3 linked regions of the Elephas maximus indicus genome follow. The protein of the gene in region 2 interacts with the protein of the main gene of each other region in a pairwise test. Links are inferred from orthologs where the notes say so. Each region holds a gene or a part of one and is shown on either strand. Other genes may lie near its edges.

Region 1 (10,352 bases), on a different chromosome or scaffold from region 2:
CGTTAAGCAATACAAAAGACTACAGATACATTTTCAAACCAAAGGTCAAATGCTTTGGACTCTGCAAACTTGGCATCTAAAGTGAGTTGTTTAGGACTCCCTCAAACAGATCTTGGACAGCGGAAGAAATCAGCAATTACAGTTTCTCTATGGAACCCAAGAAAAAAAAAATGTAGTGAAGATGGAAGAAGTCTATTAAAAACAAAAGCATTGGGACTGCCATTCTTTCAGCAAGGGGAATATGCTGGGATGTAAAAGGCATTTGGAACACTAAGTATCATACGAATTTCAATCTTCAGGGAGGACACCAGATAAACTGCTTTGGAAAGAAAGGACGAACGGATCCTCTGGCTCTATGGAAAAATTCGTGATCATCACCCAAAGCAAAAGGTCACAGAAGCCATTTATCGGTCTTGTTTTTGTTGCTTAGTCAGAGCCCAAATGTGCAGAACCAACAAATGCTATTTTACCATGGCTTAGAAAGCCAGCCTGTTACCACTAGATTTGCAAAGCAAGAGAACTACATCCACGAACGTCGAAGGGCTCCCCCATCAGAACAAACCACCCAAGAATTGGTTAGCACCCATAAAATTTTATACCAACTGACTCTCAAATCAAACAAATTAACTCAAAACCAGCTTAGTTGCAGATTTTAGTGGCAGATTTGATAAGCACAGAGGTAAATTATACATAAATTAAGACTTTTAATGCCATGAATAGAAACAAATGTTTTTGCTCAAATCACATTCCAATCAGGATTGTGGAGTCACATTTCAGCCTTCAAATTGATTAATTCATTTCAACTCGTTAGCACAATTCTGCAGGGGTGAGCAGGGACTTAGCTCTAAGAAAGCAAAAGATCCATACTGCATTCCATCAAAATCCAGAAATGCAGAGCAACGTTGAGAAAACTTACTTCCGAATGCTTCCCAAATACTATCTTGCTGCTACTTACCTTTTAACCTGTAAAATTCAGATGAGAGGTATTTAAGTGCATCATATTGTTACTGTGATTCAAAACACGAAACGGGTGTAACATGGCCAATTTTTATAAACCTCATTTAAATAATTAACCCGTCTGGTTTATAAAAAGGCCTGTCTTTGATTTATCACCTATAATCACTAGAAATTTGCAAAGCTTATTTTTCTCATGAGATCAACATATTAATTTTAAGGATTTTTTTCTTTTTGAAAAAGGTCCAATTTAGCAAACACTCAAAAAACTGTACACCAATAAAACACACACATATGGTTTTTGTTTTTAATAAGAAAATGCAAGCTCCATTTTATTACAGGGGTTGTAGCAGAAGAAATAAAACAATGGGACCAGGAAAAAAACCCAAGTTTACAATATTTGTCAAACTTTTTAAAATAGCATTTTTACTACATGTTTCCAGATTTTTTTCCCCCAAATTTCTGGGATAATCTGTTTAGTCTCTTGGTTCTTAAGAACCAAGTAACCATCAAAAAAATCAGCAACACTACATGCAAACGCCAGTAGGGTGGGAAGAAATTAATATGTTCATGCCTTAAAGAGAGGAAGGTAAAAAACGGGAGGCTTTGGAAATTTCAGAGTACATTTACTAAGACCTCTGATCACGTAAACCAAAAAAAAAAAAAAAAAGAGGGAGGGGGGAAACCCCTAACCAATCTGCTTAATAGAAGGTCATGCAGACAGGGTTTTTTTCCCCCTCTCTTTGGATCATTCGACCTCTTTGACACAAACGTGTCTTCACAGCAAGCCAGGCAAAACCGAAAAGGCAACACATTTCCTGCATGCTGGGCAAATACCTGGACTCTGCGTTTACGAAACGATGACAACATGATGGAGGAATGTGGAGTCTAAAGAGGGAGGGGGAAGAGCAAGACAACAAGCTTCTAAGGGCAAACTGGACAAAGTAATTTCAAAATGAATAAAGTAGATCTTTAAAAATACATGAATTCACGTAAAAATCCATTTTCAGATATTTTCCCATCCCGCGTCTCTTTGACATTCTATACAGTTTCTAAATGCCACCAGGGACTTAAAATATGGAAAGAGAACTAAGGTTCTCTGATCTTAGTGGTTACTATCTATCTAGGCATGCTGCCTCGGCCAAGTCACATCTCCCTTTTGTACCTCAGTTTCGCTACTTGTCAAATAAAGTTGTAATACTGAATATACTTTTTAAAACTAAACGTGCCCGCCCCCTAAACAGCACTCTGATAAATTAACCGAGAATCCCAGGACCAGATGATTCCCAAACTCCCTTCCATTCAGTAACAAAACAGCATGATTCCATGAAGCCATCAGAAACAAGAAAGAATTCAGGCTACAAAGATCTGACTGGGGCCTACTTTGCTGGCAAACTTTCTTTCCAAAATAGTATTTCCTGTTCGAAACTTGTACAAGAGGAATATGCAAAAAAGGTGGAAGGGAGGTAATGGTTCACCAGCACAGCTGCTCCAGTCAAATGGCCCAGGTGATCAGCTACGCGTTCCTCCTCAGCATTCCTGAAGTCAGCATTTGTCATCAGGGCCTTGCATTCTTCTACTGTACTTGGCTAGCCACAGCTGATAGGCTGCAGCAGACAGGAGTGCACAACTAGCGGAGTCCTCGCATAGCCCACAGAGGATTGATTACAAGGTCAGGTTCAGCAATGACAGGGCTGTGGCAGATTGTTCCTGAGATCCACTTCTCTGGATCTGCAGTTGGCCCCCCGCCCCTTTGGGATGAAGGCAGGTAGGAAAAACAGAGAAAATTCTAGCCAGGGAACCAAAAGATACGCGTAAAACAGCTCTCCCCACCTAAACCTGTTCATCAGATTGCTTGACAAGCTCAGGTTAGAGCCTGTGACATACCAGATTTCTCCAATTATTGAATTGCTACAAAACACACTGCCAAGAAGACAAAAGCATATCCGAGAATTAGTTCCTAAACTGACAGTTTACCGAAAAGAACTGCTTCACACCTGTCCAGTACAGAGCAAATCTCGTTTTGATTCTCTCCATCTCGGTCCCTGGATAACAGCTAACATACTTCGAGGGTCCCTTTGAGTAATTATTGGCCCAGTTACTAAAAAAGGATTATTGTTAATTTCCTGCACAGAGCCACTTTTACTGCAGCACATTTTTTAACTCTGACTTCAATGTGACCTCTCAAAATCTAAGTCATTAACTGCAATGAAACAGAAAATAAATGACTGGTTTAAGGAGCTGGAATTTTGGCTTAATAGTTTCATACGGCTGAGTGTTCCCACAGTTATTCTTAAGGTTTTCTGTTCCCTGGCTGCAAGACACCCCCATCCTTCCATCTTTGATACATTCTGTTTTACTTTAGTCCAATTGCTATGACAACGCAATTTCTCAACACATGATGAAAATACTTCATATGGTCTCTCTTCTATCCTTCTCTCACCATCATAATTGTAACCTTTTCTAAAATACCATGATGAAGACAGCACAAAGGGCCTATATATTTCAGGATTTATTATATAAAAGAGATCTGACAAGGTGTTGTAGCAATTCAAACATCATCACAGCCCAGTTTTCTGGACTATTCAGGCTTTCACTTAAAATATAATCAAACTTTAATACAAAGCCCCTTATTGAAAATAGATTTTATTCCAACACACTAAAGAGACCTTTAAGAGCCATTTTCTTCGGGAAGCATCTAATCAAATTCGCAGGGACATCTTTCAAACAAAAGACTGCTCTCTATCATTCAACACGGCATGGCTGTAAAATTTTTGACAAATAATATATACTACAGTCGACTCAAAAAGAGCCGTTCTCAAAAAAAAAAAAAGCTATTATTTGATGCAGGTCTCATACAAAGCAAGCGCCGCATCTACCTATTATTTACACGCAAGTCACAATTGGGGAGGAAAGAAATGTTTATTACAAGGAAAGAAAACGAGACGGCAAGTCTCGGGGTTCTCTGCGTCTGGAGAGAGAGCCAAGAATCGCCACACAGGATGAAATCAGGGTCAAAGAGCCCTTTACTCTATGCTTTGGGCTCTTCTTCCCCAAGGGTTGCACCGGCAAGGCTGCTGGACCTCAGTCCTGCGGTGATTTAGAAAAAATGGGCTGCAGGAGTTGCTCCCCACCGACAGAAGGGATCGGGGGCGGCGAGGAGCGCTCTGCAAGGAGCGGGGGGATGGTGCAGATCCTGAAGCGGGAGTCCCCACCCCACCTGCCGCAGCCGGATGGGGCAGGGCGGGGCTGCAGCCAGGCCGGGCCGAGGGGGTGGGGAGGGATCCAGCAGCTTTGGACCCCTCCCCCGCGCCACAGTCAATGACATTCCAACCGCCGGCGCCCAGGGCTCTGCTAGGCGGCTCCCCTGCAGCCCACGCGCCACAAAGCCGGTCGCGGCCGGCTCGCCCGGCTGCTCACGACCTCGTCCAACTGGAGGCAGCTGCAAGACCCGCCCGGCTCACCTGTCCGCGCGCCGGCCCCGCCCCAGGGGTGGCCCCACTCGCCCCTTCCCTGTGGCCCGCCTCTCCAACTCGGGGTCGGCTGCCCTCGGGCCTCGCTCCCGCTCTGAGCTCCCCGCACCCTTCTCACCAGCTCCTGGGGGGTGAGAGGAGTATGTGCGTCGGGCTGAGGGGCAGCGAGGGATCAACGTGCCTCCGCGGCCTCCTTCCCTCGCCGTTCGCTCCGCAGCGGGTAGTGGCGGCGCGCGCGCCCTGCCTCTTTTATAGGCGGCCAAGCGCGTTCCGGCGGCGGGCGGGCACGAGCGCGGGGGAAAGCGCCTAGGCGCGGCGCGATGGGCGGGGGAGAGCGCCTGCGGAGCAAAGGGGGCGGAGCTCCCGCAGTCTCGCCTCGCTTTCGCCTGGCGGAAAGGGCCGAGTGCTCCCGGAAGGAGCCGAAGCAGCGATGTCGGGGAGGAGGGGAGGGAAGCGAGCGAATGGGGAAGTAGGGCGTGCGCAGGGGGTGGGGGATGACGGTGCAGTGTAGTCACTGCCTCCGCCCTCTTGGGCTCAGATGCTTGAGCCGCACCTCCCTTCCCGCAGCAAAGATCCTCCAATCCTGTCCCTCCCCACACTGCAGAGAATCTTCTGCACCGCACCCCTCCGCCCCTGGGAGCCCTTCCAGCACTGCAGCGAAGGGCGGGGCAGGGGCCATCGTTGCAGTCTGGCTAGGGAAGATGCACCCCGGCCGGAAGAACGCCGAGTCCCAAAGGGTGACATCACCTATATGCTTCTTTTCCTGCCCAGTTTCCCTAGGACAGGGCTGGTGCTGGGGACCCAAATCTATCCGCTCTTCCCCCAGCCCTACCCTGATGGGGGCTGGGATCAAGAAACCGAGATGAAAAAAAAAAAGAAACCGAGATGATGTTGGGCTCTGGGTTTGAGGAAGAGATGGTAAGGGGAAAAGGCCAAATACAGATAATAAAAAAATAAAGTCAGCTACTTAGGTGACTAGGGTGTAAGCCTGTTATTCTGGGATTTGAAGCACTAAATAGGTTTTTAATAGCCTTAACAGCAAAAGCTTTCTCTCAGGTCATCAGTGAAGTAGGGTGCACTCCTCTTATTTTATAAACAAGACACTAAGATTCTTTCTGCCAGAATCGATTGAACCTTCCTAATATGTTGTTGATTCCGACTCACGGCGACCCCATGTGTGCAGGGTAGAATTGCTCCATGGGGTTTTCGGAAGCCGAAGCCTGGCCTGTCTTCAAGGCGCCTCTGGGTGGGTTCGACGTTTCCACTAATAGCCTAGCGTATATACCAGGCACGATTCTAAGCACTTTGTGTCTATGACCTTTTTTGCATTCATCTTTACAATAATTGTATGAAGTAGATATTATTTCCCCATTTTACAAACAAGCACCCTGATACAGAGGCTAGGTCTCTTGCCCAAGTGAGGTAGGCAGCAGGCAGAAAAGCTAGGATTTGAATCCAAGCAGTCAGAACCTGCTCTCTTAAACAGTATGCTATATTGCGTTTTCATAGGAAAGGGAGGCATTGTGATGCAGGTGGATGCCTGAGTGCTGAGAAGACAAAAATAAGAGGATTCCTGGAATTTCTGTCCCTTACAGTCTTTTTTTTTTTTACAGTCTAGCAGTTTAAGGGCCTGGCTCTAAACTCCGTAACTAGGAAACCCTTTCCCCACCCCCATTCCAGTGACAGCTGGGTCACAGCCATTGGGTCTAACACCCAGATCATTCCTGTGCAGTCAAGGCAGACCCAGAAGGTCTCAGCTGCCTGGTTACCAAGCAGTCCTCCTCTTTAAATAAATATAAAGGCACGGGGCAGTGCACCAAAACTTGGGCCCAGGCCCAGCCTGGACTTCCTGCTCCTCTGCAGTTTGGCTTCTTCCCCTGTGCCTGGGATCTGCAGTCTGGCTTCTAAGCTGTCCTGGCTGTAGCCATGATAGCAAGGAAAAAGTCCCCCATTCTCTCATTCCATCAGAGTGGAGGGAAAAGGCGTGGCCACACCCCAGAAACAGCTCTACAGAATGTGGAGGAAAAACGTAGGCTCTGAGAGGCATTTCCTGCAATCTTCTATGTAGAGAAAACAGGGCCAAGTAACTCCTCCCTGGGGTGTGTATTACTGGGAACAGCTGATGGGCGTGAGTGCTTGAATTGCCTCTTTTCCAGCCGGTAGCAAAATGTTTAATCAAATATTCAACTCTGGGTACAAAATGGCTAACGCATTGCCGTTCTCCAAAATTCCCAAGACCCTCCGCTCCAGCAAAGAACAGGTCTCAGGACTGTGGGCAAAAGCTATAAAAAGGGAGGATTTTTCTTTTAAATCCCCTGGCCCCATTGTGAAATGGGGTTTTGCTGCTTTGCCAGATGCAAAACAGATTGGAGACCTTAGAGAGGGCGTGTATATTGATACAGAAACTGAGATCATATTTGTTGATCCTTTGTCCGATCTGAGACATGGCCAAGAAACAGTATCCCCAGCCCTCCCTACCTCCCACTTCCTAACCCACCCTGTTCTGCATTTGGCACTGGAAATCAGATGTTTAAAAAGCAATTCTTCATGTGTTCCATTATCTGCCTATCTCATCTCCCACCAATTTTACCATATGCCAAACATTCTGCTAGGTGTGGGGACAGGGAGAGGATAAAGCAGATAATGACCTTCTTTGTTTTCTGAGAGAAACTCATTGAAAAAAGCACACCCGCACACAACAAAAAAAGTACAGGACAGTGTAGCAGCTCTGTAATCAATTGAGTCCATGTTCTCAGTCGCATCTCTCCTGGCTCCCTGAAAAGCAGGGGCTAGGACTGAATTTGTGGGAGAAAAAAATGTGACAGTCTGCTTCCGTGAAGACTTAGAGCCTTGGGAACCCTATAGAGCAATTCTACTCTGTCCTACAGGGTTGCTGTGAGTCGGAATCGACTTGATGGCAGTGGGTTAGGACTGAATTCTAAGCTCCTTTCTAAGCTCCAGCAGTCCTCTGAAGGTTTGATATGCACCCTAAACTTAAGCATCTAGGTAGTTCCAGTATCTTTCCAAGTCTCTCTCACGCACACACACGGCAAAGGTCTTGGGCTGGCAGATGGACTGTACTTCTTCCTAGGTGACATTTTGCAGTGTCAGCGCTGACAAGAAATACCACAGATCTTTAAAATACAATGACTGCTCCTGAAAGTAGGGACCACACTAGTATAGAAGCTGATGGAAAAAAAAGATGCCTGGCAGCAGCTGGGGATATGGCCTTGCCAGGCTGGCAAAAAAGGTTAAGAGATTCATTTCTGGGGAACAAATAGTAGGTGGCAGAGCTGTCTAAAGCTGGGATCAGATGGGCGCCAGGGTAACTCCCTGGAAGCAGAGCAGTGAGCTAAGAGTAACCAACATTCATTGAGGGCTTCCTTTGCGCTAGGCACCGTGTCAGTGTTTCATATCCATCAGCTCACCTAGTTCCTCTCTAAAGGCAGCGGTTCTCAAAGTATGGCCCTAAATTGCAGCATTAGCAAGTTCTCAGGCCCACCTCAGACCCACAGAATCAGAAGCTCAGGGAGGCAGGAAGGGCAGCAATCTGTGCTGTGATTCTGATGCACACTTAGGTTTGAGAAGTACAGCTCCAGGGCAGTGACTGAACCCAGTTTACTTTTAAAACAGTGTTTCCAAAATTATTTGACTACAGAACCCTTTTCTAGGATCCTGCAGAAAAACACTCTGGGAAAAGTTACCCTAGTTGAAAATGCATCTATCTACTGTGTTCCCATAGCGTTTTGCTCAAACAGCCAAGTATTCTAAGTACTTAAATTACATTCCCCATTGAATTGAAATTCTACCCTCCATGTCACCTATTTCCCTTTAAGTAGGAAGTATTTTGCAAAGCATCTTTAGAGTCAACTTTCCATCCCTGCTATAGGTTGATAGCTTCAAGGTAATATTAGCCACCAAAAACCCATTGCTGTGGAGTCAATTCTGATTCATAGCAACCTCACAGGACTCAGCAGAACTGCCCCATAGGGTTTCCAATGCTGTAAATCTTTACGGAAGCAGACTGCTACATCTTTTTCCCATGGAGCGGCTGGTGGGTTTAAACTGCCAACCTTTCGGTTCGCAGCCAAGAGCTTACCACTGCACCCGCTAGGCTCCTTCTGTAGCCACCAGGGTCCTGCTTTCAGGGTTGTAGGTTCTAGAGCTTGATTTTGTTATCTCATCAGAACTTTTTCTGAAAAGTAAAAATCTTTTTTGGGGGGGTGGGAAGGAAAAGGAGTATCTTTTAATTTTGAAATAATTTTTAATTTACATAGAAGTTACATGAACAGTAGAAAGAATTTCCATATACCCTTCACCCAGGTTCCCCAACTGTTAACATTTGACTGTTTGCTTTGTCATTCTATGTATGTATATATGTATGCGTTTGACGTATGTTTCCCCATGAACCGTCTGAGACTATGTTACAGTTATGTCCATTTATTCCTAAGCACTTCAATGTACAGTTCCTAAGAACATTTATTTTCATAGCCTCATTACAATTATCAAAATCAGGAAATTAATGTTTACATAATACTATTATCCAATATATAGACCATATGCAAGTTTTGCATATTATCCCAAGGTTCTTCACAGCAAAAACAAACAAAAAAAATTTTTTTTTCTGGTCCAGGTTCCAACCCAGGACCATGAATTGCATTTAGTATAAACATCCTGAAGGAGTTAAAAAAAATAGTTTCTTGAAAACATAAATCTGTGTAAACTGATATAAAAAAATAAAACGGAGCCTGGTTGTAAACTAGAGGATAAGTCCCTGTATAGTGGGTGTTTTTGTAAATTAATCAGAGGTGGAGGCCCACAACTTTCATCTCCTTTCTGCAGGTCCACAGAAAATCTCACACCAGGGATTTACAAAACGGAGAAAAGAGAAGTGAATGACCAGTTCTGACAAGGTACCTCTAAGAAGTTCTGTGGCTCTGTTTTGGCTCTCCTGGCACTGAGATAAGACATCCAAACCTAATTATGTCACTGCTATCATCATTATAGAAAGCTTGAGAAGTAGGGGCAGGCTCCCAGGGCCTGGGTAGGAAATCCCCAGAAGAACAATTCAATTCTTCTTTACAAGGGATGTGCAGAATTTCTGTCCTACTGGAATTTTCAGTTCATCATCAAATTTACCTTAAGATGATACAGGACAACGATATGACAAAAATATGGGTACTCAGCCCAAGAAATGAGGTCAAGCTCAAAAGGAAGCAAGCAGACGAGTACTAGAGTTAAAAACTAAATGCCATCCTTAGTATTCTACTTTAAATGATCTGATGCTACTACCCATCAGGAGTTACATCTATCCGCTAGAAATCATTATCTGTGAGGGTGACACTGTCAGTATCAAAAAAACTGGCCTCCCCAATGCTCTCCTTTCTTGGTTTACTGTTGAGATTCATGAGGAATACCAAGCATCGAATGACACGTACAAGACTGTTAAATATGTCTAGAGAAAGGATATTCAAATATTATGAGAGGCGTTTTCTATGGAGTGGTAGAAATTCAAAGTGGAAGTGGCTTCAGAGATCATTTTGTCCAGTGATTTTTCACATTTCATTTTTAGCAGCAGAACTTGGCCCATTATGTAATCTTGCACATAAGGCAAAAATGCTACGGCAGAGAGGATCCCAGGGCTCCATTAGGGCCCCACTTAATGGCTGTGTAAAATGTGAACTGCACAACTCTAATGGGTACCACATACCTAAAAAAAAAAAAAAAAATCATAGATTTTTATAATTAATATGATAATATGCCAGCAGATGAAGTAGTATCTTGAAGGAAGGCGTGCTTTTTTCTAATTTGCACAAAGTCTCCATATGTTGACTGACAGTAGGGCTGAGCCATGACCACGCAACCCCCAGCACCCTTCTCTTCCTTAAGTCAATGCTTCCCAATCTGTTCCCTGACATGATACAC
Region 2 (10,763 bases):
ATAAAGATCATGGAAGAAAAAATAGAGACAACGTAAGGAGCCCTAATACATGGCATAAAGAGTATACAAAACATTATTAAGAATGCAGAAGAAAAACTAGATAACTGGGAGCTTCTAAAATTCAAACACCTATGCTCATCCAAAGACTTCACCAAAAGAGTAAAAAGACTACCTACAAACTGGGAAAAAGTTTTTAGCTATGACATTTCTGATCAGCCCCTGATCTCTAAAATCTACATGATACTACAAAAACTCAATTGCAAAAAGACAAATAACCCAATTAAAAAATGGGCAGAAGATATGAACAGGCACTTCACTGAAGAAGACATTCAGGTAGCTAACAGATACATGAGGAAATGCTCACGATCATTAGGCATTAGAGAAATGCAGATCAAAACTACAATGAGATTTCATCTCACTCCAACAAGGCTGGCATTAATCCAAAAAACACAAAACAATAAATATTGGAGAGGCTGTGGAGAGAATGGAACACTCATACACTGCTGGTGGGAATGTCAAATGGTATAATCACTCTGGAAATCGATTTGGCGCTTCCTTAAAAAGCTAGAAATAGAACTACCATAAGATCCAGCAATCCCACTCCTTGGAATATATCCTGGAGAAATAAGAGCCTTTACACAAACATATATGCACATCCATGTTCACTGCAGCACTGTTTACAATAGCAAAAAGATGGAAGCAACCAAGGTGCCCATCAACGGATGAATGGATTAATAAATTATGGTATATTCACACAGTGGAATACTACGCATTGATAAAGAACAGTGATGAATCTGTGAAACATTTCATAACATGGAGGAATGTGGAAGACATTATGCTGAGTGAAATTAGTCAGTTGCAAAGGACAAATATTGTTTAAGACCACTAGTATAAGAACTCAAGAAATAGTTTAAACAGAGAAGAAAATATTCTTTGATGGTTATGAGAGGGGGGAGGGAGGCAGGGTGGGAGAGAGGTATTCACTAATTAGATAGTAGTTAAGAACTACTTTAGGTGACAGGAAAGATAACACACAATACAGGTGAGGTCAGCACAACTGGACTAAACCAAAAGCAAAGAAGTTTCCGGAATAAACTGAATGCTTCGAAGTCCAGCGTAGCAGGGGCAGGGGTTTGGGGACCATGGTTTCAGGGGACATCTAAGTCAATTGGCATAATAATATCTATTAAGAAAACATTCTGCATCCCACCTTGGAGAGAGGCGTCTGGGGTCTTAAACGCTAGCAAGCGTCCATCTGAGATGCATCAATTGGTCTCAGCCCACCTGGATCAAAGGAGAATGAAGAACACCAAGGATACAAGGTAATTACGAGCCCAAGAGACAGAAAGGGCCATATAAACCAGAGACTACATCAGCCTGAGACCAGAAGAACTAGATGGTGCCCGGCTACAACCAATGACTGCCCTGACAGGGAACACAACAGAGAACCCCTGAGGGAGTAGGAGAGCAGTGGGATGCAGACCCCAAATTCTCGTAAAAAGACCAGACTTAATGGTCTGATTGAGACTAGAAGAACCCCGGTGGTCATGGCCCCCAGACCTTCTGTTGGCCCAGAACAGGAACCATTCCCAAAGCCGACACTTCAGACATGGATTGGATTGGACAATGGGTTGGAGAGGGATGCTGGGGAGGAGTGAGCTTCTTGGATCAGGTGGACACTTGAGGCTATGTTGGCATCTCCTCCCGGGAGGGAGATGAGTGGGTGGAGGGGGTTAGAATCTGGCGAAATGGACATGAAAAGAGAGAGTGGAAGGAGGGGGCAGGCTGTCTCATTAGGGGGAGTATGTAGCAAGGTGTATATAAGTTTTTGTGTGAGTGACTGACTTGATTTGTAAACTTTTACTTAAAGCACAATAAAAATTAAAAAAAAGAAATGCAGATTCTCAGGCTCTACCCCAGACCTACTGAATCAGAAAGTCCAGGAGTAGAGCCCAGCCACATGACTTTTAGCAAGCCTCCCAGGGGACTGTGACACATGCTAACACTTGAGAACCACTGTGACTGAAGCTAACAAGCTGAGCTCCTACACAGCCCCTATGTTTCCCACCTTGATCACCTGGCCCCATGCATACAAACCTCACGACTAAAGAAGAAACCACTTGTCTGGTACCATGCTGCAGTCACAAAATATAAGCATACTCAGCAAAGTTACTTAGGGCCAACTTAAGCAGAGGCCTACAGCTGGGGATGGAACAGACCTCCCCTTCTGAGTCTAGTTTCCACAACCATGGCCTCTCTTTCTCAATTCACCTGTTCAGTGGCCTCTAACTCTACCCTCTCCAGTCCCTCAGGCCCACTCTTGGCTCTCAGGCGAGGACCCCGCCACAATAGGAATGGGTTTGTTAATACATATGCCCTCTTCCCCAACTATGAAATTAAAGGTTCCAAGCTGTCTTTAAGGAGGTAGCTACAGCTTACTCTGTCTGGAAATAAATGCTAACAATGAAATATGAACCTCACAATCGCTACCACTTCCAACATTTACAAAACTCTTCCATAACTCACTCAAGGATCAGAAAAGCTACTTCTGAAATTGGGATTAGAACCCAGGACTCTTGATTCACTCCCCAAGAGCCTAGCCACTGTAGCATGGCAGGCAGGAAATAAATTATTGTTAATTATCTAATGGAATGATCCTATGTAAGGGCACAGGCCCCACGTCACTGGACCATGGTGCCACATGGAAAGCATTTCCTTTTCACAATCCCAGTCTGCTGGAAATAATGCAGAGGCTTACTCTGAGACAAGGGTAACTTCCTGGGCCCGGAGCACCAAGTTTACAGAAAAGGGCGGGACAACCTTTACAGCCCTACTTTAGAAAACCAAACCGTCCGCTCATCTACTGCCCCGATCGATTAAAAGGGCTCCAGTTTCCTCTTACAAATAATAAATGGTGGTTATTCTATTATCATCGCCATGTCTTACCGCAGCAGCATTTGGAGGGAACAAAGAGGGCCCGGAGAGGTGGAACCGAGGTTCCTGCACGATCACTCTTTGCCCATCAATATGGTATTTCTGCTCAGTTCTAAAAGGTACAGAAATTCTATTTGAAAAGCGAGAAGCTGCCAGAGGTCGGAAGCAGACGCAGGTGCATACGCTCCAAAGAGATGGAGACGTGAACAGGGATGATCTGATCGCCCTCCTATCCCGCCTCCTCTATTTTCATTTCTTAGAAACTATCTCTGCTGGAACATCCCTTCCCACGTTCACACCCAGGGACGGACTCCAGCAGAAGAGAAGAAAGAGACGGGAGGGGTGAGATTCACAAAGGCTCTAATTTGGGGCATTAATAGTTAGAGCAGCTGAAAGACCTGCAACAGCAAAGGACCCTGTTAACAAAACATCATCAGGGCACGTCCCAGAAAACCACCCAGCCGCTAGATTGTTGTTAAAAATAACGGGGAAAATCAGAGCCAAAAGCACATCTCAACTCTGCAGACAGACTTACGGAACATTTCACCTTCACTGTTACAATGGGCGTTTTTACAAGGGGCAACAGACTCCGTGAGCTTGACAAAGGAAGAAACACAAAAGATAGCGAGAGACTCATTCTGGATAAACAGTTACTATTCTGTATTCGTAACTCCACACCCGAAACAGCAGCTCCATGAGGCACAAGGTGGGGTCTTGGCAAATCTGCACAGGATAAAACCAGTTATCCATGCTGCACTTTTGCATGCTGTAAGCATCCCTGACCTGGCCCACCTCTACACCTCCCACAATCAGGATCACCCCACCAAATGCCGAAGAGAAAACCCCTTTTTTGTGAGAACCAACCAGAGCCTAAGCTGTCCATCATTACACAGCAAAACCCCAGTGAGAACAAAAACCCAGCAGCACACTGATGTAGAAACCCCAGAACGTACCTGAATTCTTCAAATGCAAACATGACCTAGTCAGAGACAGCTTCCTCGGGTTGTCTGGCAGCCTTGTTGGTACGGAGGACAACCATTTAGTCAGTGTGATGGGGTGAAGTGCCGGAAAAAAGAGGCGGGCTCCCACACCCCCCAATATTCTGAAGTAGAAGGTTTTCTGCAGACAGGGGCCTGCAGCCTCCAGCTCCGCCAGCTGCTGACAAGCGGCAGCTAACAGGGGAGGCAGCTAGAAAACCATGTGATCATTCCAGCAAGTCTGATGAATGCAGTGTATGCCTAGACTCCAGGCTGGGAGCTGGATTAGTCCAGGGAAATCGGCCAGACCTGGGCATGCCGGGATCCTGGTTAAATCAGGTAAGATATCCCACCTCCCCCCACCAGAATTCTGCAGCTTAAAGAAACGAGGAGGCAACCTGTTCCATTGTGGTCGACCTCATTACCTCATCTTCCCGTGGCGGCTGCTGTAATGATCAGGCATGACCAACATCGTAAGCACAAACGGTACACAGTGAAACCTGGGCTGCACCACATGGAAAGGCAGCTCACGGCGAGAGTCTTTAAAATTCGGCACCTTACCGTCCCTCTACCAAACATTGTTTTGCACAAACGCCTAAGATGCTTCAGGATCACAAAAGTCACATTTTACGCCCCCACTTTTACCATGAATAACATGACCTTGGCTGTCACTCAGAGCTAGTGTCTCCTTTATTTGATTATTCATTTACTGAGTGTCGAATGTGTACCGGGCTCTTAACAGTTCCTTGAAGTGCAGTAATTGCTGTAATAATTTCAGAACAGAAGTTAAGAAGAAGGAACTGAGATGTCAGCCAAAAAAGAGAGCAATGTTTATCAGTTTGTGAAGCCCAAGCTGGCCAGATCTGGCAGTGGGCTGAGGAGGTATTCCGAAACCTGCCACTGCGGAGATTCTCCAGCACTTGGGCTGCAAATCTTTATAAAACAAGGGAGACAAATCTCAAATAAAAACCCGTGAGTCATCTTGTCTCTTTTTTCTCTCTCTCACACTACAAATATAACCAGTCACTAACTCCAATTCTGTCTCAGAAAGGCTCCTCTGAACCGGTCCTGCCCGCCCCCACCCCAACTGCCTCAGCTCATATCTTCAAAATTTCTCACTTAATGTCTCAGTTTCCTTCCTAGTCTTCTTCCTGGCGTCCCTTCTTGAAAATTCTGCCTGAGCAGTTGTCCTAAATTTGGCCTTGATCCCCCGCCCCATTTGAGCCCTGCATTAGTTTGGCGCCCCCATGAAGTCAAAACGGATTTCTCCTACTCTTTCTTCCATTAAAATTCTTCATGAGACATCCACAGATCCCAGAATATGCCAGGACTCCGTTTCTTGGGTGCCTGGGCCACCTGGGTCAGATTGCTCCACGTTCCCCCCGCTCCCCCATGCTGCCCACTGTCCCTTGCCTGCTCCTGCCCAGGGCCCGGAGGAGTCCCAGGGACAGTTAGCCGCTCTCACTCCTCTCTGGTCCAACTGCACCGATCACAGCACTCTCTCTGCCTCCCCCACAGATCCACGAATTCTGTCAGGGCAGGGACTGTGTGAGATTCATTTCTGTATTCCCACTGCCTTGGGCAGGCCTCGACAAAGCAGAGTTACTTAAAAAGGTTTCCTGAGTGTGCCTCTTTTTGCCCTGCTTTCTATCCGGGGGAAACCTGACCTAGCACATGTACTCACATGAAGGTGCTCCGGGTGAACACGCCCTCTCCACCCAGCTCGCTCGCTTGCTCTCTGAGAAGCTAGCGTTGGAGCTTGACTCAAAGAAACGAAGTCATAAAGGCAAACGGAGGCAGACTGGCTAGTGAGGGAGACATTTTGGGGAATCCTGGGGTCCCGCAAACCATATAGCAATCATCGACTAAGCTGACGGAGGAATGCCTTCGCCAGTATTCCTGACAGGTGTCTGCCTGAGACTGTCTAGTGACAGCAGCTTCTTGGCAGAATCCTGATATGACAGAAAACATGGGAGACTCGGAGCCATTAAATAGCCCGGCTGTAAGTCCCAGGTCTGCCACTTACAAACTCCATGACTGCTGACAGTTTCCTTAAGTTCTCTGAGCACTGGGTTCTGCACAGGTGAAACTGGAATAAGGGTTACACTGGCCACACCTCTCTCACAAGATGGCTGGAAGTTCTTTATCAGGCAAGTAAAGCTACACAGACATTCCTCATGGTCTTTATTATCTCACAAGACAGCCTCTCGCTGAACAGCCCTGATTTCTGGGTGCTCTTCTTTATGGTGAGGTCCCCTTCCTCACTGAAGTGTCCATCTGCTCATTGGTAGTGCATTTCCATCTTGGGGGGCAGCAACATATTTCTGTGCTGTGATTCTCAGGAAAGGGGAGATCATCTATCCATCCATCCATCCGCCCATCCACTCACCCACCCGTCCATCCACCTATCCACTCATTCATCCACTCCCATCCACCCACCCACTCATCCATCCACCCATCCATCATGTCTAGTCCCAGTCCTAAATCCTAGGTTTAAAAAACAAAAAGCAGTAGAGATTACCCAAGAGTTAGCAAGAGCAGTTGGCCAGACCAAACGTAACTATATGATATTTTTATTTGTAAACTATCTAGGTATGGAAACCCTGGTGGCGTAGTGGTTAAGTGCTACGGCTGCTAACCAAAGAGTCGGCAGTTTTAATCTGCCAGGTGCTCCTTGGAAACTCTATGGGGCAGTTCTACTCTGTCCTGTAGGGTCACTATGAGTCGGAATCGACTCGACAGCACTGGGTTTGGTTTTTTGGTTTTTACCTGGGTATAGTCATAGGTGGGATGGGTAAGGGGCAGTTGGACATCAACCAGACATAAGCATCTGGAGGGAAAGAAGATACCAGGGCATCACCTTGCCAATACTTCACAAACTCAAGGACAGGGTAGTAACTGCTTTGCTGGGAACTGTTCTCATCTGCTTAGGCCTTGCCAGTGCCTACGAGGCAGGCCCAGTGTAGTGGAAGGCCCAGTTGAACAGAGAACCTCTAGTCCATGCCTGTCTTTCACCAGTGACTCAAGAACCTCCTCTTGGAGAGCTGGTTATACCTTTTGAGGCAATTCACAAGGTCCTAATAGAGAGGAGAGTTGATAGAAATGGTGAAAAATCTCCAAACGCCAGCAGCAATTTAGACATAATTTTAGAGATTCCCCAATATGCTAATAAGGACACAGAGGCCAAAGTGGTCGCCCAAAGTCATACAGGTGTTCTAGCAGAGCAGTGCCTCAGGACCCCTGTGTCCCGCTGGCATCCTAACACCAATGATCTGTCTCAGGCCGGCTCTAAAAGAAGACTTTACAACAGACTGTTAGGCAGCCTGTGACCCAAGAAGGGGCTGGGATACTGTGAACCTTTTGGGCTATTTTATCCAGCTGGCTCTGTCTAATCCCCAATTTCACAGCCAGGCAAGAAACCTCTAAAGGCTGAAAAAGTACCTCAGCTGCCCCAGGAAGTAAGGGGTAGAAATAAGAGTTGAGACAGGGCTGGGACCAGATGGGAAAACAGCCTGCTTCCAAGACTAGACAGATCCTTGACATCTCAACTACTGGTAACACCAAAGGGTCAGAAACCGGGGTGTCACAAATGAGGGTCCATGATGCCTGACAGCTCCACTCCTCTCCAGAATAAGGCCCAATAAAGGACTTTTATCACCACACAATGATTTAAAAAGTCGTTCAAGGTCATCTTCAATGTCTCAGGACTCAGACAAAATAGGTTCCTACTCTGGGACTTAATTTCCCTTTCTACCAGGAAGGAACAGCCAGATATTCACTTCTTAGCCTTTTGTGTTTTAAGATAGCAGCTACCTGGAACCTCAATACATAAAACTGATGACAGTGGATGGTTCTGTTTGAAGAAGGGGCGGCAGAGCCACAGAGCCCCTGCTGCTAGGCCTTTCCACTCTCCACTAGAGACAAACCTGGAGTCTGCCTGAGAACACCTGGCCCAGATGACTCCAGTGGTCCCGCCGGCACTGATACTCTGTGGGGCTCTAGAGCTAAAGCCAGCATGCTCACCCTGGGTAATCTAGGTCCACTTCCTCTTTCCAGTCTCATTCCTAAGAATAAAAGCCTCCTGACTTGCCCCTGCTGACCTGGCAGAACACTCCCCTACTGCAAGTACTGGACATGCACACTTCCGGAGGCTTCTCAGAAAAACACAGACATGGAGATACTGAACAAAGCACAGTCATTAACGTGGAGGGACCCTAGGTCACTGACAACTGGGAACATTTGAAACAAGTGTCCTTAGCTTAGCATGTACCTTAGTTTTGCAAGCAACATGTCTTTTCATATCAAACCAAAAAACCCCAACCCCCGTGATCAAGTTGGCTCTGACTCACAGCAACCCTACAGGACAGAGTAGAACTGCTCCATTGGGTTTCCAAGGAGCGGCTGGTGGATGTGAGCTGCCAACCTTTTGGTTAGCAGCCTGAGCTCTTAGCCTCTTGTGCTACCAGGGCTCCTGTTTTCTTATAAAATGGTCAGTTTTCCAAGAAAGGGCACTTATAGCTTGTTGGTATGAGTCCCGTTACAGTTGATGTGCAGACCGACAACCTGGGAGTTTAAGTCTCTGTGTCCTGTTTTCCTCTCCCACTATTTTTGGGTTGTAGGAACTCATCCATGATGCGTGTGCAGCACAGTAAGCCTGAGCGTGTGTGAGCAGAATCCAGAGTTCAAACGCTCGTGATGTTTCTAGCTATGCACATCCACTGTAGGGCTGCGTGGAGATGAAATGGTAGAAGTCCTACCTGAAGATCAGACACATTCATGACTAAAAGCACTCTTCTCTTCTCATGGCCCAACCAAGGATCTTTCAAATGAGCAGGGACTGAGTGGGGACAAGAAGCACTCCACAGGGTCCTCCATGGCCTACTTCAGTCCCCTTCTCTCTAGTCTCACTTCTACCACTCTAACGCAGACCCTGCCCATCTCCACCTGGTCTCCCTCCCAGTCTGACTCCCTTCCTGCACACGGTCACCTGCCCTGGCACCTTCCAGTCTCAAACCCCACCAGTCTATTTCACTGTCTGCAGAACAACATCTAGCCCCTCAGCTTGGCACTCAGCAACTCCACAAACTGACCTGTTCTATGCTTCAGTCTGTTTTCCACAGCTGCCAACCAGAATCTTCTGGTGGCCAGGCTTGTCTCCTCGCTGAGCCCTGGCACACTTACTCATCCCACCTCCATTTCTGGATCCCCTTGTCCCCCCGTCCACAGTGCTTTCTCCCTTCTCTCCACAAGCAGTGATAGAATGGTATGGCTCTGAACCAGCCCTACTACTACCCACTTGAGGAGCCTTGGGCAAATGCTTACCAGTTTAAGCCTCAGTTTCCTCAACCTAATGTGGGAAAGATAGCACCTACTCAGTGGGGATGCTGTGGGGATGAAATGCCTGGCACACATTGACCACAATAGATGGGAGCTGATATTAGCGCCTATGCTTCAAAACCCTGACCCAGACCAGCCTAGAGCGGTCTTTAAGGCCCCGGAATGCCTATGATCGTCAATGACCACTTAAAAATCTTACGCATTGCTTGTGCTGAGTAACCTCTGTCCACTTACATGTCTTAGGCTCTAGCAAGGTAAGAGTCACTGGGGACAGGGACTAAAGGGGCTGACAAGGGGAGGCGTGCAGTTTAGATCCCCATAACCTTCATCAGACACTAGTCCTTACCCCTAGAAATACACATACGATAGGAGTGACAACAGCATGCTTGCTACGCAAACGCAGCTTCAAGATAAACCCAGCGCAACGCAAGGCCAGTACCCAGGACTGACCTTTAAGGCCACCTGCTGCTGTATGTCCTCCAGGGACTCACAGCAACCCCCACGACAGGGTAAAACTGCCTCGGAGGGTTTTCTAGGCTGTAATCTTTATGGAAGCAGATACGACTTTACTCCTTTGGAGCCACTGGCTAGGTGCAGACTGCTTTGGTTTGCAGCTGAGCGCTGAACCTTTGCACCAGCAGGTTGAGCCACCCAGGACCTCAGCTTTGGGCCATCGTCCCCATATTCTCCCGTGTGGAATTGTGGCAAGCCCGCTGGCAAGAACCGTTGTTGTTAGTGCTTTCTAAGCCTCACAAGGTACAGCACATTCTTAGGCACAGCTGAGGTCTTCAGTGAAAATGTTTTTGAATCTACTGGATGCTCTTTCATTCCAGTTGAAATAACCATTCCAAAAATTAAAACAAAACCAAATTAAAAAAAATCCTGTTGAATCAATAAGAAATTTTAAATTTGAGCTCTACACACTGAATTAGGTCTTTCCCCCAAATTACATAATTTAACAGAATTTCTACAGTGCTATTTCACTTTAAGTTTTAAATAAACCCATACCTTACCTCTATGTTGAGAATTCAATTTAAACTAAAAGCTACCAAAAAGAGGCAGTCTACCATAAAGCAAACACAATTACATCTCCAGTCTACCACTACTCAAAAAGTAGGCTTTACTGGTAATTATATCTGCATTCCAGTCTACATCAACATCCCTCATCAAAGAAGCACTTTCTAAATATCTGTGCCAGGTTATTGAAATTATCCTTTCACTCATTCAACAAATACTTGAAGGGCTACTGTATGCTAGACATTTTAGGTGCTACAGAGAAAGCCCTCAATTTCACAGTGGTGAAGTTCTAACAAAGAAACTCAGATACTAAATGAACACGAACAAGAATAAAAATATAGCAATATACCAGAGAGTGATTTAGGGGTTATTAAGTTTAGAAACAACTTGACCACACACAACAACAAGTTTAGAATGAAGGAGCCCTAGTGGCACAATGGTTAAGTGTTTGGCTGCTAAACGAAAGGTTGGCTGTTCAAACCCAACCAGCCATGCTCC
Region 3 (11,202 bases), about 50 Mb from region 2:
AGGATGTGGCAGTCAGCTTCCGTAAAGGTTAGCCTTGGAGACCCAATGGCGCAGTTCTACTCTGTCCTACAGGGTCGCTAGGAGTTGGGATCAACTGAATGGCAGTGGGTTTGGTTTTAACACTAAATAAAAACTATTACTAGATATTTACAAGGCCACTTTGTGCATTATTATTTTACATGTATTTTGAAGATCAGAACCATAAATATCTGAAAAATATTTTAATTTGGTCAATTGACAATAATGAATTTCAACCAGTTGTTTATAAAACAACTTAAAAAATAAACTTTAGCCAATTTCCTTGAATGTGGAAGATGTGAGTTAGTGCCTGAGGGAAACATTTATTCACAGGATTTTCTTTATCAGTAGAAATGATTTATTAATATGATAGAATATTAATGGACACTTTCAGGTCTAGTAATAACTTGTATCCATAAATAACTTCCTAACTTTGGAAGAGCTACTTAGTGAAATTCTTTGCTCTCCTATGTTCTGAAAGACATAGGAATTCTGGCCCATGAGCTTTTGTGGAGAGAGAGTTATCATTAACTAAAACAGACTACATGAGAAAATTGTACATTAACAGATTAATTATCTTGTTAAGGAGATAAAATATAAAAGTAATGTTTTTTGCTTATCTAAAAGATGACAAACCCATTGCCGTTGATTTGATTCCAACTCATAGTGACCCTACAGGACAGAGCAGAACTGCCCCACAGGGTTTCCAAGGAGTGCCTGGTGGATCTGAACTGGCGACCTTTTGGCCAGCAGCCGTGGCTCTTAACCACTATGCCACCAGGGTTTCCAAAAGATGAGAAGTGAATGTTAAAAATCTGTCATTCTTCTGCCTTATTTATTCTTGGCAGTTTAATGCTCCCAATATAGACGTGAACAAACATTACACCAACTTCGTATTTTAGAAAAAAACGTATGAGACAGAGAAGAAATGGTCTTTTTTTTCTTTCCCCCATGAGCCACCCCAAATCAACTCTCTTCCTTGCCTACTTATTTTCTGTCCTAATGTTTATAACATAATTCCTTTTTTAGCAGACATTCAAATTTCAACCCAGTCAGCACCATATTGTCTACTTACAACTTCCATTACTGATAAAACGAATGGTTTAACGTTGCAAATGTATACTGGGCTTGACAGAGATAAAGGTTCCTTTTAGTCTTAATGAATAAAGTATAGGCTCCTCTCCACAGAAAAATAATGCTCTGACTCCACCATCCTAATTAGCCTGTGGCTCTAACTTCTTTTTCCAGACAAGGCAATTAATTTCTCAGTTCCAAGGATACATTTCTGGAGCAATTCAACATTGACTATAGATAGCAATTTAAGAGTTGAAATCTTAATATGAGGAAAAAATTGGCTGTAAACTAAAGTTTTAAAAACTTTCAAAATTAATTATGTCTTTCTTGTTTTTTACTTAAATCAAAGTGTTTTTTAAAAAGTGGCAAGTGCCTAGTGGGGCTTGATTTGTACTGAATAAAATTTCCATCAGTACTAATATGGTTTAATAGGTTGTATGTAAGAATACAAATGACTGGAAACACAGGTCCCATTCAGTTGGGATCAGCAGTTGAGAAAACCTCCACTGCTTGCTGAAAATGGCGATATTTTATTTTTCTTGTTGTAAATAAAACATCAGTGTTCCAGCCTCAACCTCAGGGCCCCTGTTCCAAGGCCAGGCTTTCTTCATTTCCCAGGAATGTGGGAGACCTCTGAGCACAGGGCCACAGTGGAGGCCTGGAAGCACCTTCACTGCCCTGCCTCATCCTTGGGCTTGCACGTCCTTGGGCTTGCAGCGAGGTGACGGAAATCTCCCTCCAATAATCTTAAACCCCCTGCTCTGCCCTCCTCACCCCCAACTAAATGGATTGCTTAAAAAGTAAAAGTCAGATTTAGGCAAATCTCCTCAAGGATGGTTTCCTTTCTTCTAAGCAGCGGTGAGCAAAACATTATAAAGAACTCTTTCCTCACAAAGCTGATTTTCTAGTTGGAGGGGAAGGGGGAAAGCATGAGACAATACAAAAGTAAGATAATAATTAACATATATAGCATGCCGGAAAGGGTAAGTACTATGGAGACAAAGCAAGGAGGGAATTAGGGGGTGTCTGAGGTGGGTGGCAGCAATTGTGGTCAGGAAGATCTCACTGCGAAGGTGATATCTGAGCAGAGATTGAAGGAGGTGAGAGTGAGCCATTTGGATATAGGGTTTTGGGGAAGAGCATCTCAGGCTGAGGGAAGAGCAAATGCAAAGACCATGGGGCGGGAAGGTGCCTGGCTGAGGTTGAGAAACAGCAAAAGCAGTGTGGTTGCACTGCGTGGGAGGAAATGAGGTCGGAGAGGTTAAAGGAGGTGTACGTCATGCAGGTCCTGGTAGACCATTCTAAGGACGACTGAGAAACGTGGGGAACCTCTGGAGGATTTCGATTAGAGGATGGCATGACCTTTCTAACAGGTTGTTAAAAGCACTCTTCTGGACACTAGCCTTGATGGAGGCTCTGTCAAAAGAGACCAGCGGGATAAATCTGATAGCAGGTGTCACAGACTTTGTACATGCAACTACTGAAAGAGGAAAAGAGTCGAATTCTGGAGCAATGGGTATTTGGGGGTGGTTGCTGGAGGGGGTTACCCTGGGAGGCGTAGCTGCTTAGCTTTCGGGCCAAGATTGTGCAGAAACCTCTAGTCTTAACCACTCTTGTCCCACATCTCCACTTGGAGGGTCAGAGCCACCGCCTGCCGTGTTGCCTTGGCGACCACAGGCCAACCCCCCCCCTTCTCAATCCCTGGCTCCGCCTCCTGACCGCGAGGCACGGGGACCCGGCGTCTTCTCAAGCTGGGAGGCCGGGCCTGGGCCAGCGCGGGCTCATCAGTATTCCGCTGCCGGAGACTCCCCCAGCCCCGCCGTGAGTCACAGCCCCTGTCAACCCCGCCATCAGCGAGACCCCAACACCTCTGCTCCTCCCCTTCACCCCAGGCGGAGGCTAGAGCCCAGCAGCAGGTCCTGCCCTCGAGCGTGCCGGGTGTCCCTGGGCGTTGACACGCCTGTCCCTAGCTATGCAGAGCTTTTCCGCACCCCGTCCACAGCCAGAGGCTGCAGGTCCGCCGCGGAAAGGGGGCGCCCTGGGCCCAGCTCGCGAGTAGCGCACCCCAGGAGCCTTGCTTCAGGGCATCCCCGCAACAACTATCTGGGGACATTCAACTCCCCTGAGCGCCGTTAAAGCACCGCCGCGCTTCCTGCAATGCACCAGACGGGGGAGGCAGACATCCGAGGCCCGTTCATTGCACCCCCACTGGGATGCACTGTGAGCAAAAAAGGTAGACCGTCTACTGCAAAATCAGAGGGTCGGAGGCGCGGGGAGTTAGGGGTGGTTTTTCTTAGGACTCACCTTGTGCAGTTTCCACATGGCCCCCAGAGCCTTGACTTCGTGACTGGAGTGTTTACCCTCCTCCAAGCACTGGTAGCAAACGGGCATCTTGCACTGCACGCAGTACATGCTGTGGTTTTCCAGCTCGTGGTCTGTACAGGTGGAAACCTTGCGCGGGCTCAGCCGCCGGCTCACGCGGCCCTGGGCCGGGGGTACCAGACGGTGCTTGGCCAGGGGCCCCCGGGGCGGGTGGCAGCGCAGGCGGCACGGATCGCAGTAGAAGACATCGCACTGTTCGCACATGACGGTGGCCTCCTTGGGCGCCTTCTCGCAGAGCTGGCACTTGAGGGCCGCAGCTTTGCTCTGTTGGTAGCGGTCAATCACCCCTTCCAGGACGCGATTCTTGGGGAAGCCGCGGAGCCCCCGGTCATCCAGGATGAGGCTGCGGTGGCACTGGGGGCAGGTGATACAGGAGTTGCGGGGCACCGGGGCCAGAGCCGGTGACAGGTGGGTGGCTGGTGGCGGCATAGCCGGGGGGAACACGCGGACGCCATTGGGGGACCTCTGGCATGGGGTAGTGGGGGCGCTGGCGAAACCCCCGTAGGAGCCATAGCCGCTGTCCGCCTCGCTGTACAGGCTCATCTTGTCCAGGTCCAGATAGTCATAGTCGGAAACCCCGGAGCCCGAGGCCCGACGGCTCTGGGGGGACTCAGACTCCGGGGTCTGTACCAGGATGTTGCGGGCGCACGCCTGACATAAATTGTGAGAGCAGGGCAAAATGATGGGCTCCCGGTAGAAGGAGCCGCATACAGGGCATTTTAACTCTTCTTCCATCTCTTCCATGGGGACCGGGTTTGGAGCGTTGCAGTGGTGCCTGAACTGGCGAGGTGGCCAGCGGGCCCGTCGCGTCCAGCACCTTGGCCAGCGGCGGCGGCAGCTGCAGCGGGAGTGGTGGCGCCTTCCCGCGTCGCCTTGGCGCGGACTCCCAGCTAAGCACTTGCTCTGCGAGCCCAGGAGCCGCCGCGCCGCGCGCCAGCCCCGGAACGCCTTCTTCTGCCCTCCTAGTCCCGCCCCAACCTCGAAACAGGGGTCCATTGGACGGCGGGTGACAGAGAGAAGTTCTCATTGGCCACGTGCTCCGTCCGTCCCATCCCCTCCGCAGGCCCCCGGGGGTTTAGTGGAGGAGTCTGAACGTCAGGGGAGTCTTTGCTCCCAGCAGCGTGAGCTCGGGAGGGGGCTGGCTTGCGGAGGCGAGGGGACCGAGAAGGAGGAATTAGGCGGGATGACTCATCCTTCGCCCCGCTTGCTTCCGACCTCCGGTGCAGTCACCCAGGAGCAGGGGGCGTGAGAAACCCCTCCCAGTAGCGAGTGGGCTGGCTGAGGGAGCGGGTGCTTCTTGCCAACAGTTTGCGTTTGGCTTCCAGCTACGGTCTCTGCGCCGACCCACCTTCTCTGGGCAGTGCTGCGCACCGCCGGCGGCCCCCCTCCTGCTTCCCCTGCTGGCGGCGTTAGCAGGCCCCTCACCCAGGCCTAGGTTTCTGAGCGGCTGCTGGGCGTCTCTCCCCCTCCCTAACCCCCCGGAAGCTGGCCGCTGGAGCTCCCACATCCCCGGAGTCTGATGGCGATGGGCATGAGCCCCGGGAAGAGAGTCCCTTGGCTTTTCCGAACCCCAGTCCTTCGTCTCTAAAAGGGGATTTCCTAGTGTTGCGGTGAGATTTAAACCAGGTAATCTATGTAAGGAAACCCTGGTGGCGTAGTGGCTTAAGTGCTATGGCTGCAAACCAAGAGGTAAGCAGTTCAATCCGCCAGGCGCTCCTCGGAAACTCTATGGGGCAGTTCTCTGTTCTCTAGGGTCGCTATGAGTCGAAATCGACTCGACGGCAGTGGGTTTTTTTTTTTTTTTTTTTTTTTGGTTAATCTATGTAAAACCCATTGCCATTAAGTCGACTCCGACTCATAGCGACCTTACAGGACAGAGGGAACTGCCCCCATAGCGTTTCCAAGGCTGTAAATCTCTATGGAAGGCGACTGCCGCATAGTTCTTCCGTGGAGTGGCTACCGACCTTCCGGTTAGCAGCCAAGCGCCTTAGACGCTGCACCACCAGGGCCCCAGTCAATGTAAAGGCTCAATATATGAGTCAAAATTTATACCCTCTTTATTTTACGCTTTAAATTCGCACTGGCCCAAAGGCCTCTACGCTGTGGTGTGGATGTGCCTCTAGCCCCTCTTCACTCCCCTGCCTCCCAGTGCTGTTTCTTTATCAGCTCTCCTCAGCTCCTCACTGAGCTTCCACGAGGCCAGCAGGGCTTTCGTTCAGCTGAGACAGGAGTGGTGGGTCTGTTTCTGAGTGACCTTAGTTTAGTAATAAATCTATAGATGAGTCACTCTGTCACTGCAGAGTCTCAGTATTTGAATCCAAACGCCAGTATTAAATGGCACGCCTCCTGAGCATTGACCACAGCCTCCGGCGTGGTGGTTTCTTTCTGTTCCCTCCAGTGAGGTATGTGGTGATGCTGATGGTAGTGATGGGGAAAGGGGGCTCTAGTGCTCGTCCCTGTATATTAAGTACCCCCTCCCTACACATGGCTGAAGATACCTGGTCCTGCCCCTAGTCTGCAGAACTGTTGATTTGATCAGGGAAGGTGCCTCACAAAGGTTTTCTAGACAAGTAACATTCTGAGGTAGCAACTTATTTGTAATAGTACATGGCTGCCTTAACTGATTCATGAAGTAAATGACAAAAACTCTTTCCAAGTTTTAAGCAGTCTTCCAATTTCTAATCTTCCAGAAGAGAGATAACTTGATTATTCATGGTTACATTTATAATTTTGAACCAGTTTATTGTTCAGGAAAAAATCGATTTTTTTATAACTTTGCCCTTGGAGAACTAGTCCAATAAACCAGGTTCTCTTTCCAGCACCTTCTTCAGTTGAAATGAAAGCAGCCTTTAATGATCCTTGGGTTTGTGGAAAGGCCTCATTGTTAAAGCCATCTTAATCACAAATGCTATGCAATGTATTTTTAACCTGGCTTTTAACTAGTTGAGCCTGGAGCATCAAAAAGGGGTATGTACCCTGTTTGCAGGCATAGAAATTTTTCAAGTGTGGTTGAGATACCTGAACTTGCAGAATACATCTAATTTGTGGGCCCCAAGATAATTTGTTAATAACAAGTAGTTAATTATTGAAAAACTTAGAAAGGAGTGTCAGTGCCACTCATTTATGATCCTTTCCATGACTGCTGTGTTAATTTAGCCCAAAGCCACAGTAGCCTTTGACTTGTGCTTTGAACAACTCAGGGTAAGCAGCTCTTACTCTTTCTATGCCTTTGAACTTTGCTCACAACAGTATGTGATCTAAGAGGTCTGTTTATTGGTAGAAAACAATGCTTCGTTGAAAGTAAAGGCTAGCATTAGGGACTATCTGAGACTTAACAGCACTGTCGGTTTCGCAAAGAGCCTTAATAGACTAAAGTCAATATACAAAGATTTGCTCTATTATGAAGTATCTGCAGATGATTTGTTAGGTCTATTTGGTCAGGAATTAGAGAAATTAAACCAGTCCCAGGAGAGCTGTTAAAATGACTATCATTTGTCGAGCACTTACCTTGTTCCAGGTAGTGGGTTTGTTTATGTACATGTATTACCTTTTTTTTTTTTTTTATTACCTAGTAATAACATAAGAAGGTGGCACAGTTATCTCTACAGATGAGTAAAATACCCAAGGTCAAATATTGGTGAGTCTGGGATTTGGACCCAGGCACTTGTGAGTTTGTTCCTTTGTTCATTTATTCATTTGCTCACTCATTCAACAAATGCGGAATTCTACACTGTCTCAGGCTCTATGTGATAAATATCCCAAAATGTCTTCGTTAACCTCCCGGCTATACTGCCTTCTTTTCCTGAGAGTTGATTATTTCTCTCATATTCATTTCTTTAAAGATTTTCCTCTTATGTGTACTACTTGCTCATAACGTACTTTAAATCCCCCCCCCACCATGAATTGTGTTTGAAGGGGAATAAAAATCTGCATGTAATTGATGATATTACAGAAATACTATACCATTGGGTGAATGTCTTTCCCCTTCCAGCTGGTGAACAGCCCATACCCTGAAGCAGGAGGATTGATAGCCCTGTAATTTCGTCATTCCTGGGATGGCTACAGATGTTCTCTTTTGTGTAAAGTGCTTAATCATCCCCTGAAACTTACTGAACTATTCACCCAAATGATGTTTCTTGGCAATCGGTTGAGGAAATTTAAAATGCACTAACTGCTTTTCCATTCTTTAAAGACAAATTGCTTTCCAGTGAAAAATTAGTTGCTTTCCTATTTGCTTATGACTACAGTGCTTGATTATTAACACACGATTTCTTTATTCTAAAGAAATGACCACTCACAGAAGAAAGGGTTCTCCCCTTCTCTCCACATTTTCCCCTAGAGCCATCTATCCTTAGTTTTAGGGGAAAAAATCAGTGACAGCAGCTGTCCATATGCTTTGACACTTGAAGATCCTCTGACATGTAGGAAAAAATATTTTGTATTTACTTAGTGATTAAGGGTATTGCTGGCTGTGGTTTGTAAAAATTGCATTATTTGCAAAGTGATGGATGCGATGTTTATATTTCAAAAGAAATTATGATAAGAATTCTTTTTACAGAGTAACTTACTCCATTAATACTAAATTTTCTACTTGTAATATTTTGTACTATTCTTAAAAAAAAACCACTGCCGTCGAGTTGATTTCAACTCATAGTGGCCCTGTAGGACAGAGTGGAATTGCCCCATAGAGTTTCCAAGGAGCGCCTGGTGGATTGGAAGTGCCCACCTTCTGGTTAGCAGCCGTCGCACTTAACCACCACACCACCAGGGTTTCCATACCATCCGTAATAACTATATATTTCTTTGGGGTTAATATTCTTTTGTCTTTTTAATTATTCAATTATTAAAGTAAGAGCCTTTTGCCCATTTAGTACTACTGGAAAATGACCTTAATCAAATTCTGTTGTATTTCTATCCATAAGTAATATGTTCCTAATATTTTGGGAAGGACAGGCAAAAGAATCTGGGAAGATGGAGGTTTGTGAATCCTGTATTAAGATAAGAGAGTTGAAGGATAAGTCCGGGAGACAACACTTGTGAATAATAGGTATCCCAGAACTAGGAATAGGCACTGGTGGAGGAAAAACCATAACTGAAGAAATAATTATCCTAAACCAAGGAAAGATACGAGATTGCAGATTGAAAGGCTTTTAGAATTACAGATGACATTGGTGAAAAGAGACCCAGCATATGCAGATACAATTCTTGAACTCCAAGGGAAAAAGAAAGGAAAAGAGAATCTTATAAGCTCCCAGACAATGAAACATAAAGAAAAAAATCATATTGACATGTTTTCTTTCTGTGACTTAAAGGCAAGAAGAATGTGAGAAAAACAAAACAAAACAACTACAGCCTGTTAAAAATAAGAGAAGGTATCCTAAGTACTTTATAGCCAACCAGGAGATCACTGGCTTTTCAGGTCAAAGAAAGATATTTCCAAGAATTCAGAGAACATAGCACTCACATATTCCATCTGAGAAAAGTACTTGAGAAAAGATTTTAAACTAAGTAACAAATGAACCTTAGCTAAGTCTTTAGGTTGGATGAGGAGGCAGTGGGGAAGTAAAAGTATTCTAAGGACCTGATATTATTGAGGAGAAATAGAAGAGGAAAAGGTGAGAAATCAAGTGTCTTTGTTGGAGGAATTACTTAGTGTCCTCTTTTTTTCCCCACATAATGGTAAATAAATATATGTATGGTTGAGGCCTGGGAAAAGAAGCATAACTATTAATATAATTGAAAATACAATAAACTAGAAAAAAACAGAACAAAACAAACAATCGAACTCAGTGCTGTCGAGTCGATTCTGACTCATAGCGACCCTATAGGACAGAGTAGAACTACACCACAGGGTTTCCAACGCTGTAAATCTTTATGGAAGCAGGCTGCCACATCTTTCTCCCATGGAGAAGCTGGTAGGCTCCAACCACTGACCTTCTGGTTAGCAGCTGAGTGCTTTAACCACTGTGCTACCAGGGTTCCAAAAGTACAATAAGACCTGAAAATCAGCAAACATTGGGAAAATACTATATGAAACTCTATGATAACAAATTTGAAAAGCAAGAGGAAATGGATAGTTCCTAGGAAAAAATATGTTAATTAAATTAATCCCTCCTAAAAAAATATACATTAGACCAACTTCCATAAAGGGATTTGAAAGGTAGTTTCAGATTTATCATTTAAAAAGGCATCCAAATTAGATGTCTGCACAGATTGGCTCTAGCTAATCTTTTAAAAACAAGTAATTTCAATGTTATTGAAATAATTCTAAATTCAAGAAAAATATAAAATGTTCCCCAATTTTTATAAAGCTGTCATAACTTGAATAACAAAACCTGATATAATTAATAGAAAACAAAATAAATTGAAAACTAGAAACCAGAAACACCAAAGTAATAGATATATAAGTGCTAAATAGGTTATTAGCAAATGGATTTTGGTAATACATAAAAAAAGTAATGAACTATGACCAAGTAGGGATTTTATCTGGAATGCAAGTATGACTATCATGAAAATTATTAACACAATTTAAAACATAAAAAAATTAAAGGAAGAGAACTCCTTCTTCTGGTTATATGGGAGTAATCCTTCCATTAATGACAAGAAAACAGGACAAGCTATAGGAAACAGTTGGTGTCCAGACACTGGGTAATAGGCAGCATAGGATTATAATTTTTGAGAGAAGGCAAAGAAAGATGTGAACCCTTCCTTCAGCCAGGCTTTCTACCACATGGCAATTTCCAGATTGTGGTACAGGGAGGAGAAATCCAAACAAACCTTAACAATCTCCCTCAGTTGAAGACACAGAGATTGGATTTTGGAAGGCCAAAACTCAAAAAAAAAAAAAAAAAACCTGTTACGATCGAGTTGATTCCAACTAATATCGACCCTGTAGGACAGAGTAGAACTGCCCCATAGGTTTCCAAGGAGGGGCTGGTGGATTTGAACTGCCAGCATCTTGGTTAGCAGCCAAACTCTTAACCACTGCACCACCAAGATTCCTTGGAAGACCAAGGAGACTAGAATTTTCAGAGAGGAAAAAGCTAGACAGAGAATGAGTTCCAGGTATCTGGATGGGAGTCTCCTTGGATCTTTGACTGGACACAATCTGTGCATGTATTGGGTGAACCTCTACAAGGCTAGGCGATAGCAACTTCGGTGAAAAGAACAAGTACTGAAGTTACCATATAAACTATTCTCAGAGCACACACAGGCCAGGAATCACTCATATTCCCTTGAACCGGATTGAAGAGAACTCACCGAATGTACAAAAATCAATTGTTATCTACATATACTAGGAATGAACAATTGGCAATTGATATTTAAAACTGAACCATTTACAATAGCATTAGAGAAATGAAACATTTAGTGTTGAGTTTTTATGTGCAAGACCTGTACATTGAAAACTATAAAACATTCCAGAGAGAAATTAAAAGACCTTTCTGGGGGTGGTGTCTTAGTTATCTAATGCTACTATAACAGAAGTACCACAAGTGGATGGCTTTGACAAACAGAGATTGTTTCTCCCACAGTCTAGGAGGCTAAAAGTTCAAATTCAGGGTGCCAGCTCCAGGGGAAGGCTTTCTCTGTCGGCTCTGGGAGAAGGTTCTTGTCATCAATCATCCTCTGGTCTAGGAGCTTCTCAGTGCAGGAACCCCAGGTCCAAAGAACACTCTGTTCCTGGCTCTTCATTCTTGGTAGTAGGAAGTCCTCTCTTCTTTGCTCACT

Evidence for each region.
Region 1: the proteins of EVL (region 2) and SPTAN1 interact in binary tests that used the Homo sapiens proteins (3 or more experiments, as listed by UniProt). The link is inferred for Elephas maximus indicus from reciprocal best matches to the Homo sapiens genes EVL and SPTAN1.
Region 3: the proteins of EVL (region 2) and TRIM9 interact in binary tests that used the Homo sapiens proteins (3 or more experiments, as listed by UniProt). The two-hybrid records come from large-scale screens. The link is inferred for Elephas maximus indicus from reciprocal best matches to the Homo sapiens genes EVL and TRIM9.

What each region holds. Positions count from the first base shown.
Region 1 is NC_064827.1:79,558,949-79,569,300, reverse strand, and holds the start of SPTAN1 (spectrin alpha chain, non-erythrocytic 1), read right to left. Parts: upstream 4,701-10,352; 5' UTR 4,546-4,700; intron 1-4,545. UniProt on the Homo sapiens protein: Fodrin, which seems to be involved in secretion, interacts with calmodulin in a calcium-dependent manner and is thus candidate for the calcium-dependent movement of the cytoskeleton at the membrane.
Region 2 is NC_064828.1:113,342,961-113,353,723, forward strand, and holds the start of EVL (ena/VASP-like protein), read right to left. Parts: upstream 4,721-10,763; 5' UTR 3,911-4,720; coding exon 3,888-3,910; intron 1-3,887. UniProt on the Homo sapiens protein: Ena/VASP proteins are actin-associated proteins involved in a range of processes dependent on cytoskeleton remodeling and cell polarity such as axon guidance and lamellipodial and filopodial dynamics in migrating cells.
Region 3 is NC_064828.1:63,339,637-63,350,838, forward strand, and holds the start of TRIM9 (E3 ubiquitin-protein ligase TRIM9), read right to left. Parts: upstream 4,471-11,202; coding exon 3,397-4,470; intron 1-3,396. UniProt on the Homo sapiens protein: E3 ubiquitin-protein ligase which ubiquitinates itself in cooperation with an E2 enzyme UBE2D2/UBC4 and serves as a targeting signal for proteasomal degradation.